2 linked regions of the Arabidopsis thaliana genome follow. The protein of the gene in region 1 interacts with the protein of each later gene in a biochemical or structural test. Each region holds a gene or a part of one and is shown on either strand. Other genes may lie near its edges.

Evidence for each region. Proteins that work in one complex are often made in the same cells at the same time.
Region 2: the proteins of SYP61 (region 1) and SYP41 form a complex in vitro, tested with the Arabidopsis thaliana proteins (one study listed by BioGRID).

The regions. Positions count from the first base shown.
Region 1 is NC_003070.9:10,013,854-10,018,565, reverse strand, and holds SYP61 (syntaxin of plants 61), read right to left. Parts: upstream 2,711-4,712; 5' UTR 2,541-2,710; intron 2,160-2,540; 5' UTR 2,134-2,159; coding exon 2,080-2,133; intron 2,000-2,079; coding exon 1,886-1,999; intron 1,816-1,885; exon of another isoform or gene 1,731-1,815; coding exon of another isoform or gene 1,698-1,730; coding exon 1,584-1,697; intron 1,488-1,583; coding exon 1,300-1,487; intron 1,155-1,299; coding exon 1,064-1,154; intron 979-1,063; coding exon 913-978; intron 835-912; coding exon 724-834; 3' UTR 519-723; downstream 1-518. Other genes in the region: GRX480 (Thioredoxin superfamily protein), read left to right, coding at 4,519-4,712. UniProt on the Arabidopsis thaliana protein: Vesicle trafficking protein that functions in the secretory pathway; the fusion of phospholipid vesicles containing SYP61 and VTI12 is triggered by YKT61 and YKT62. Together with VTI12, required for membrane fusion.
Region 2 is NC_003076.8:9,487,622-9,492,898, reverse strand, and holds SYP41 (syntaxin of plants 41), read left to right. Parts: upstream 1-1,806; 5' UTR 1,807-2,294; coding exon 2,295-2,494; intron 2,495-2,678; coding exon 2,679-2,955; intron 2,956-3,054; coding exon 3,055-3,144; intron 3,145-3,377; coding exon 3,378-3,449; intron 3,450-3,545; coding exon 3,546-3,620; intron 3,621-3,737; coding exon 3,738-3,803; intron 3,804-3,895; coding exon 3,896-3,976; intron 3,977-4,067; coding exon 4,068-4,175; 3' UTR 4,176-4,766; downstream 4,767-5,277. Other genes in the region: AT5G26990 (Drought-responsive family protein), read right to left, coding at 202-279, 557-699, 1,458-1,533. UniProt on the Arabidopsis thaliana protein: Contributes to the regulation of secretory and vacuolar transport pathways in the post-Golgi network, and to the maintenance of the Golgi apparatus and trans-Golgi network (TGN) morphologies. Together with VTI12, required for membrane fusion.

The DNA.
Region 1 (4,712 bases):
TCAGCCCAAATCTCTTCTTATTAATGATACAATGACTCATTATTCATTTTACAATCTAAAGCGTTGTCATTTTGCACACAAAAAAAAAAAAAAAGCGTTGTCATAAGAGTTTAACGATAGTATCAGAAAGATTCAACAATAAATCAGTTATTCAACTAATTATATCCGGCAATGATTCTTCCGGAGATCATGCTTATAGTGAGTGAGTCCTTTGGATTCGTTGATGATCGATCAGTTGAAGCATTTGCCTTCAATTATGAACTATTAAGGGTGGTCTTTTGAGCAGTAGCCGGGTTTGTTGCCACAAATTGTTAGATTTTTGCCGGTTCTTTATTTTTGGAGTCATTTTGTTGTCTTTAGATGTTTCTTATGGAGTCTGCTTTCGGAATTTTTTTTTCGTTACAGAACTGAAGAAGCAAAGGAGACATTGCGGAAACTTAAAGAAGGCATAATAAAGGTGTATTCTATAGGGAAGTTTTTGACGGCTTACTTTTGATGAGACTGATTTGTATTGTTTAAGGAACTTAGCCATGGGATCAAGCTATGAAAGTATTTAATTTCAGGTTCTCTAGAGATCACACAGCCAAAGTTCAAAATTATATGTGGGATTGGATAGGAGAAGAAAAAACAGACAACCTTATGTAAATATTCCATTTGTTTCACCACAAACATGATAATGTAAGACATTAAACTCCCATCTATAAGATCCCGCGGCTCTGTTCTTTAGGTCAAGAAGACAAGAACGAATAGGATGATGAACAAGACGAGCAAGAAACATATCATCATCATTTGACCTTTTGCTCCAGCTTTCTTCATTACCATTCCCACTTTTTTCTGTCACAATACCATTTTCATTCTTTCAGTTTTTACTTTCTGCAATCAAACCAGCAACAAGACCTTTAAGGGGTTTACCTGAACAAATTCAAGACGGTTCTTTGTGCTGTCCATCTCCGTATCCAATTCATCTATTATTCTCTCCTGAACACACACAATAACAAAAACTTGATGTTTCTGATCTCTACTGATACGTCCTACTGTTAAATCATCTTCCCATATTACTAACCTGTGCAACGAGTTCGTCGTGTATAGTGAGCCCCACTCCTCCAATTCTCTGTACACTTTTACTAAGCTCATCCAATTCTTCGTCTTGTTGCCTGAAGTGAAAAAAATGATGTTAAGTTATGGCACTACTCTGTTTTTGAACAACACTATGCTACAATCTTCAGTCTAAAATCGTTATAAACTCAGAAGCAAAGAAAAGACTGCAAAACAATGTAGAACACACAGAGAGAGCTTTACTTTATCAACAGCATTTGCCTATCTGATTCTGACTGTACAAAACCATCATCGTCTCTCCCTCCATACTGATCATATCTACTTGCTTCACCCGAGTTTGGCATTCTCATTAGTTCTCTACGCACTTCACTTGCATGACCTGCTCCAGAACTAACCTTTCCAGCTAAAACACCAGACTTCACATTCCGCACCTATAAAAAAAATCGTAATCGTCTTGCACAAGTCAACTAACAACAAATTTATGCCACTATGTAAAGCAGTATTCATAACAAACTTAGAGAACATACCTGTGTCCTAGCATTACTAGTCCATCTCCTCCGTTTTTCAAGCTCAGCTTCATCAATGCCATACCATGAAGGATCTTTTGCTGCAACAGTAATCGCTTTTTCCAGCTCATCTACCTTCCTATCAGTAAAAACAGCTTCAATAGCCATGAAAGGACTCGAATATATTCAATTGGAATTTCTAATCATGTAAATAAGGGCCAATACATTCCTACAAGATCCATTTACAAACACAAATCCTATTCCACACCAGCTAAATTATATATAAAGACGAGATTAATAGAACCGTGACTAAATACGAGTACCTGCCACTCAATGCTTCCACAAGTAGCAACAAGCTCCTTCGCCACATGTGCTTGATCACCCATGTCGGGAGAGATACGCTCCCATTTGTGGAATGTAGATTGCAACTTATCAATCTAACAAAGCATCATCCATCAATCACTGTACTTCAAAATCTAAACAAAAAAACATCTCTGGCAATTTCTGAACAACTTACAGAATCCTGAATCTCTTCTTTAACAATGTAGAATGGATCTTGAGCTGAAGACATCCCGAAATCAACAAAATTTTGCTACCCTATACACCAAATAACACAGCTGATTAAGCTATAGAAACAAGTTCTTATGCAAAGTTAGTTACAGAAACAGAATTTTGAAATTTCATCTCATTGGCAGGGATTGTTCTGGAGATGCGCAAATTCTACGATTGCAAAATTAGAGTTCCTAAGTCACAATGATCAAACTCGACAAAACTATTAGATCCAGAGAAATTCCGATTAAATCCTGGCTAATCTAGGGTTAGAATTTTATTCAATAGAACCGGAACGGCTTTATCAATCTATGTGCTTTAAGATCGACACAAACATTGGAGAAAAAGCTTGCGTTTAGAGACGATAACGACAAGGATCAATGCGAAAGGAGAATTGATGTAAGAGGAAAATTGAAGAAGCTTCCTTACCTGTGAAGGAATTAATCGAAAGGTGACGCGACGGAGAACAAACGACGGTGAAGTAAAAGAGATTCCGGCGTGAGATTCGTCTCTCTTACATAGCAAAACGCATCACCTGCGGTTGGCTTTGAGATTCGCTGAAAGTTTATTTTTGGGCTACTGGAGAATCTTATAAAGCCCAATAAGAGACCACAGAGCCCAATAAGTTATTACAAATCTACGACAGTATTAATAAAGACCATTTTCTACGTTACAAAATTTTGATTATTAACTGTTATAGAAAATGGTTATATTGAAACGCATATTTGGCATTTGTTATAGAAGAAAGAAACCACTCTTGCTGAGTTTTTGTTGGTTAAAGCGTGACCTAAGTCTGTCTATTGAGAAGATTCATAGTCCATGAAAAATCCGATGCTACTATAAATGATTGTTTACTAATCCTAGAAACCAAAAACAAATAATTGTTTTCTCAATTCAAAAATTGTATGGTAAAATTTTAGGGTTTACACATTTAAGATTTTAAGTGTTATAGATTTCCGGTGCACAGAAGAATGGTATATATTGTGAGTTTGTGATTAGTTTTGTTATGCAAACTTCTCACGTTAGGCAACTGTAAATATAATATCTCCAACAAAGCGGTCATGCAATTTGTTTTGTTGAAAATTTGTATATTTTACTAGCGGTCATGAATTTTTAAATCCCCCACACTCTATTTTTTAAAATATTTTTAACGTTTTGGGACCATGATGGATGTTGAACTTTCATTTCAGGATTTGGTGGAACGATAAAATTGGAAAGGCTTTGGAGTTTGGAACCTGAAGAACTTATAAAGTTAAAGGATGACACGTGACTTTAATAAAGAAATGCAATTCCCATAATCATATAATAGTCCAAATTTAGGAAGAAATGGGTGACATGAGTTTTAAAGAAGAAAGACGTCATGATTCCATTAAAACAAACCAAATTAGTTGGTGGCTTGGTGCTGACGTCTACCGACTTTTCCACCGTCCATCCTTCGACGATGGTTCTTTCTAAATGACCTTCTCAGTTTTTTCCTGTCATGCGTATTATTATTATTAGTTAATAAGGCTCCACTACTACTCGGAAAGTCCGAGTACAAATAATATGACAATAATGTCAAACTTATTCTTAGTATTGGTTTAAAAGAAGGATTCAACAAGAGTACTTAATCACGTCTCATAATTACCACTTTCATCCAAACATGGTCATTACTATATGACATGATCGTGTTACATTAATTTGGAAAGTAGTATATGTCTTTTTCCTAAAAGTTTATGTTTAGATTTTTGATCACTAAGAATATAATGTCATATATATTATTAACCTTTACACCTAAATGTTATATTAATTACTTGAATGATAAAACGGAAAATATCGAAAGTTTAGGCTAGGTCTCTCTAGCATCTCTAGTGTATTTATTTAGCAATCCCAAAACAAAATTGTGTTTTCTACAATTTTAGTATTAGATTACCAAAATTGTTGTATATAGTCTGGTGATTCCGTTTTGATGGTCGAGATCGAAAGAAGCAAGCATCCACTATGTGGTCGTCACATGCGAATATTTCTAAGTATACAACCATCTATCGAAAGTTTCGAAACAACCCAAATATAATAGTAATAAATTCTGAGAATTCTCCTATTTTTTATTGATATGAAAAAAGCAGTAAAATATTATGTAAAGTAGAGAGGAACCAAAATTAAAACGTGCAGATTTATTAAAAGAATAAAGTGGGATCCAAAAAGTCAGCGTGAAACATGTGATACGATATAACGACACGGTCCTATGACTAAGTCCACTCCAATCCAGTGACGTAAACAGCACCATCACCCATAGCTTCCTGTGACGCACATCCTTACGTAACCATCGTTGACGCTAGACTTTCCTCTCTGATCTCTCTTTCTTCATGTATATATAACAAAACCTTCCTTTCCTAATTGGTATCTATCTTTAAAAACATACTTGAAAATGCAAGGAACGATTTCTTGTGCAAGAAATTATAACATGACGACAACCGTCGGGGAATCTCTGCGGCCGCTATCGCTTAAAACGCAGGGAAACGGCGAGAGAGTTCGGATGGTGGTGGAGGAGAACGCGGTGATTGTGATTGGACGGAGAGGATGTTGCATGTGTCATGTGGTGAGGAGGCTGCTTCTTGGACT
Region 2 (5,277 bases), on another chromosome or scaffold:
TGCTTGGTTAGGTTTCACAAACAAAACCTAACCCTTACTTCTAACAGAACATAAATAAAAGACTCTAGGAAAAGTAAATCCTAAACTATTTCCTAAATCATAAATCAGGAAGTATTCATATCATTAACACAACTCATTGGAAGAATCAGATAAGTACATGATCGTTAAAAATATAACTGGTAGAGAGAGCAAAAAGGATATCTTGAACATATTTGCATGTTGTAGGGTTATATGAGCAATCATATCAGAGCTCACTTTCACCGCACAAATGGGACATACCTACAAGATTAACAATGTCAAAACGCAGAATTGAAAACAAATCTTGCTATTGTAGCAATAAACAAGTGTCCTAGAGTTGATTTCTTCTCTGAGGAACACTGAGTGGCAATTCCAAATACTATTTCGACGCATTTCATTAGGTTACTTTCACTTTCTTTATATCCAAGACCAGTAACTACTAAACATAGAACAGTGCTCTTACCAAGAATGATATGATGAAACAATAAATAGATTTTGATTCAAAACGAGAGAAAGGTAACATTGAGGAAATATCTACCCCATTTTTTGCATCCATAGGATGATCTTCATCAATGTGACAGCATAGAGAGACGATATCAAAATAGTCTGAACAGAACGGGCAAGCATACTCCTCCCTGAAGTCATCTTCTCCTTCTATCTCCTCAAACCCCAAGAAATTGTCTGCGTTTTTCAAAAATGAAGAAACTAGTCAAACACGGCCAAGAGAACATTCGAAAATGTGACAACTACAAAACAAAAGCCTAGAAAATAAAATGACAACTACAAAACAAAAGCCTAGAAAATAAAATGGGAAATACTAAAAACGCGTTCCATTCTCGAAGTTCCAATACAAATGGGTTTCAGAAGAAACATCAAAGATATCTAAATAAACGAATGGAAACTAGTAGATCATAAAACCTTCCCTGGCAAAGACGTCTAAGTTTGAGATGAAACTAAAGCTTTTAAAAACGTTTTTACCAACAAGAAGTTTTGTATTTACTTGTAAGTCAAACAAGAATCATCAAGATTCCAGCTTTTGACATTAAGTTCATACCAAAACCTAGAAACAAAACACACACGCTTAATCAATCCCTAAAGCCTCACATTAGTAAAATGCCTCAAAAGACAGAATTTATTTCCTCCATTTTCCTTAAATTCAATATCAGCAAAACAAACATTTGAACAATCACCATTTCAAATATTCAGAACAAGACACAATCAATGTCTTGTCCCATTTTGTTCGGAAAACCAGAACAGTAACAAAAATGTCAATCTCTTACAGTCAATCTCGATCCTTGATCAATTCAAAAGAAAACAAATTTGAGGTCTAAATATCATTGATATTTTTGCAATAGAATCAAGATTAAATTTAAGACAAAACCAATCAAATCTCAAATTAAGAAAGAACAAATCCAAGTTATAATTTTTATCAAACTCACCAGATCGAGACAAGAAATCGAGCTGATATCTTCTTGAAGCCGATGCGAGACGATCACTCCAAGAATCAGAATCCATTTTTTCTACGAAGATTATTACAAATCGAAACCAAAGAATCCACTTTTTCAACAACAACAACAAAAAATCAAATAAATTCCAAGAATCCGAATTGATCTTGAGTCCGGATAAAACAAAAACAGAGATATTCCGATTCAAGAATCAAAAGATTCCGACGAAATGCAAAGACGAAGACGACGACGACGATTTTGCGTCTTTTTTTTCTGGAATTCGTCTTTTTATCTTCTTTTTTTATTATGGTTTTTAATTCTTTGGATATAGAGAGAGAGAGAGAGTGAAAGACATAGAAGAGATGAGTTCTATTACATGTATTAAATTGTTTTTTAACAGCCCGCACGAATGCATGCCGTTTAAACCTTTTACCCGCCGTGTTTTTCCCTTTTGGAATATCAAAACGTCATGCTGTTAGTACGACGCTTACGTGTCGAAATATTATTGGTTTGTATTTGGTAAGCTGGTGAAACAGGACAAAGTTAGCCGCGCAACTGTTTTTTAACTTTTTTTTTTACTGTTTCCAAAGTTTTAAGTTTTGGGGAAATAGTGAAAAGTGAAAACCTCAATTTGCAAATCTGAGAGTTTACTTTCCTCATCGGAAAAAGTTTTGATCTCGCCGCTCTCCGAGCACTTCCTTGTCGGAGTCCCAATTTTTGTGTTCGGTTTTATTCTCGGTCGATGATGAAGCCGCGATTGTGTTCAGATCGGAGCTGATTTCGAATTTGGATGTGAAATTGAGATTCTAGGGATTTCAAATTTTGACGATCATGGCGACGAGGAATCGTACGTTGCTGTTTAGGAAGTACAGAAACTCTCTGAGAAGCGTCAGAGCTCCATTGTCGTCATCTTCATTGACGGGAACACGATCCGGCGGCGTTGGTCCGGTGATCGAGATGGCGAGTACTTCGTTATTGAATCCGAATCGCTCTTACGCTCCTATTAGTACCGAAGATCCTGGAACTTCTAGGTACTCTTCTCTCTCTTTATCAGTGAAAATGGTGAACAATTTGATCAATTAGGGTTAACTGGAAATGATTAGCTTAGCAATGAGAATGATAATACATCATTGATAGTGTAGTTGAAGTAAATGTCTGTGAGCTACGTTAAGCTGAGAGTTAGTAGTTACTGAGATATTTTTGGTCATGTTTTAGTAAAGGTGCGATAACAGTGGGCTTACCACCAGCTTGGGTTGATGTCTCTGAGGAGATATCTGTGAATATACAGCGTGCAAGGACTAAAATGGCTGAGTTGGGAAAGGCTCATGCCAAGGCGTTAATGCCATCGTTTGGGGATGGTAAAGAAGATCAACATAATATTGAGTCTTTGACACAGGAGATAACTTTTCTATTGAAGAAGTCTGAGAAGCAACTTCAGAGGCTTTCTGCTTCAGGGCCTTCTGAAGATTCAAATGTTAGGAAAAATGTGCAGGTAGTTTTGACTTGATGGAAGCTGCTCTTAACACATTTCCTTTCTTTTTGCTGCATTTGCCATTGCTATCTAAGATTTATCATGTGTGTTTAATAACAGCGGTCTCTTGCCACTGACCTCCAACTTCTTTCTATGGAGCTTCGCAAAAAACAGTCAACATATTTGAAACGCTTGAGGCAGCAAAAAGAGGTATGAAACTATTATCTATTTTAGTGTAATTGGCATTTCTTATACCGGAAACTATGTGATGTTGCAGTGTCTCATTCTTTGAAGTTTTTGTTTGCTTTCTGCTCCTCCGCCTCAAATGAAACTTCTTTACATCGATTTCATAGATGATAGATTCTTTTAGTACTTGTTTTTTCAGAGTATATTATTCTGTCCTCTCAAGAAGCTTTGACTTGAAATGTATTATCATTTATCAGGATGGGATGGATTTAGAGATGAATCTGAGCAGAAACAGATATAGACCTGAAGAGGATGACTTTGGCGATATGGTTTGACTCCTATACCTGTTTCATTCTATCGATTTAAAGCAATCATTCGTCTTATGTCTTCTTTATTGATGGAATTTTTTCTCGATTCCTTTTTAGTTAAACGAGCATCAGATGTCAAAGATAAAAAAGAGTGAAGAAGTATCTGTAGAGAGGGAGAAAGAGATACAACAGGCAAGTGCTTGCACTACGTCTTTGTTCTTAGTTGTTTGTAGCTCACCAACGTTTTTTTTTTTCTTTTGCAATCAATCATAATCTTTTTTCTTCTTCGTTGTCTGTGTCATTGTCCAGGTTGTAGAATCAGTAAACGATCTTGCTCAAATTATGAAGGATCTTTCTGCACTTGTGATAGATCAGGTTAAACTTATTTAATCCCATATTCTCTTTGTCTAGCTTTTGAGTCTTCTTCCTTTCGAAAAACAAACTCAAAGCAACCCGTTTAATTGCAGGGTACAATAGTTGATCGGATAGACTATAATATCGAAAACGTCGCTACTACTGTTGAAGATGGTCTCAAACAACTACAGAAGGTAAAAATAGTGTTCTCTCTTCAACATTAATGTCCAACTATTTGTTTGTCCCAATTCTAAATGAAGTGGATCGCATAAAAAAACTTCACAGGCAGAGCGAACGCAGAGACATGGAGGTATGGTGAAGTGCGCATCCGTGCTTGTCATCCTCTGTTTCATCATGCTGCTACTCTTAATCCTCAAGGAAATATTCTTGTGATCGGATACTATAATCCCTGGTTAGATCAATAAGAAAAGTTCGATCCTTAACTATTTCATTCTTTAGCCCCGAACATCGCATGTTTTCCTTCAGGGCTTTTGGTTTCAACTTCTTTGCATTTAACAATACTAAGATCCTTTGCAGAGTAGTTAGTACGTAATATTATTGTGTAGAAGAAGACCATAGATAGTCAGAGGTCGATGTCTGAGGAGTTGAGAGATCTGTGCACCAACGCCAAAATACTCTCTTCACGCTAAAGTCAAGTGTTCTTTTAAAATGTATAAGATTCCAGTCATAGTTGTTGGAACTTGTTTTTGACAAAATGGTTTTGACCATTGTAACTTGTGGATTTTCCGGTGAAGACGTTCATTGGAGTGACCAGATTTCGGGCAAGATGGAATCGTAGCTGCGAGCACTACATGGTGGAGTATTCAAATGTGAAAACGAGTTTGTTTGAAATCTTTTACTTTCCGGTTATTGTATCTTCGCATAAATTACAAATTCTCAACATTCTAGTTCTTTTAAAAACATATATCATTTACAAATGTATAAATATTTTTCACTTGAAACAATGAAAACTTTATACACGTTTTTGTGATGAGTTAATATGAATTAAATTACATCTCAAGTTCTCAACTCTAGTTTGAAATTGGTCATGCCAAATAGCCTAATTGAACTTGTATTGTTATTGTGTCATTATCATGGTTCAAACCCATATTATAATCATACTGTTGACAAAAATTATAATTTTAATATTAAATTTGTGTTATTATTTTTGTAGATAATTAGCTGGAGGGTTTTTAAAAGAAAAATATAAAAAAAAAATTAAATAATGATTATATCAGCGCTTAAAAAAGATAGTATTATCCTGGATAGCACATTATTTTTTTTATCTGTTTCTAATGATTCTTTAAATTACCTTTAAATATAATAAATTACATATCTAAGAATTTTTTAAAATTTATGATAATATTTTATCTTTTTTAAATGTAGCATGTATATAATAAATTTAAAACTTATATTATATATAGTGCTTCAATAAAATCCTTGAACATGTATAACCAAAAAAAAACCTCAAACAACATGTGCATGGATGTTTACC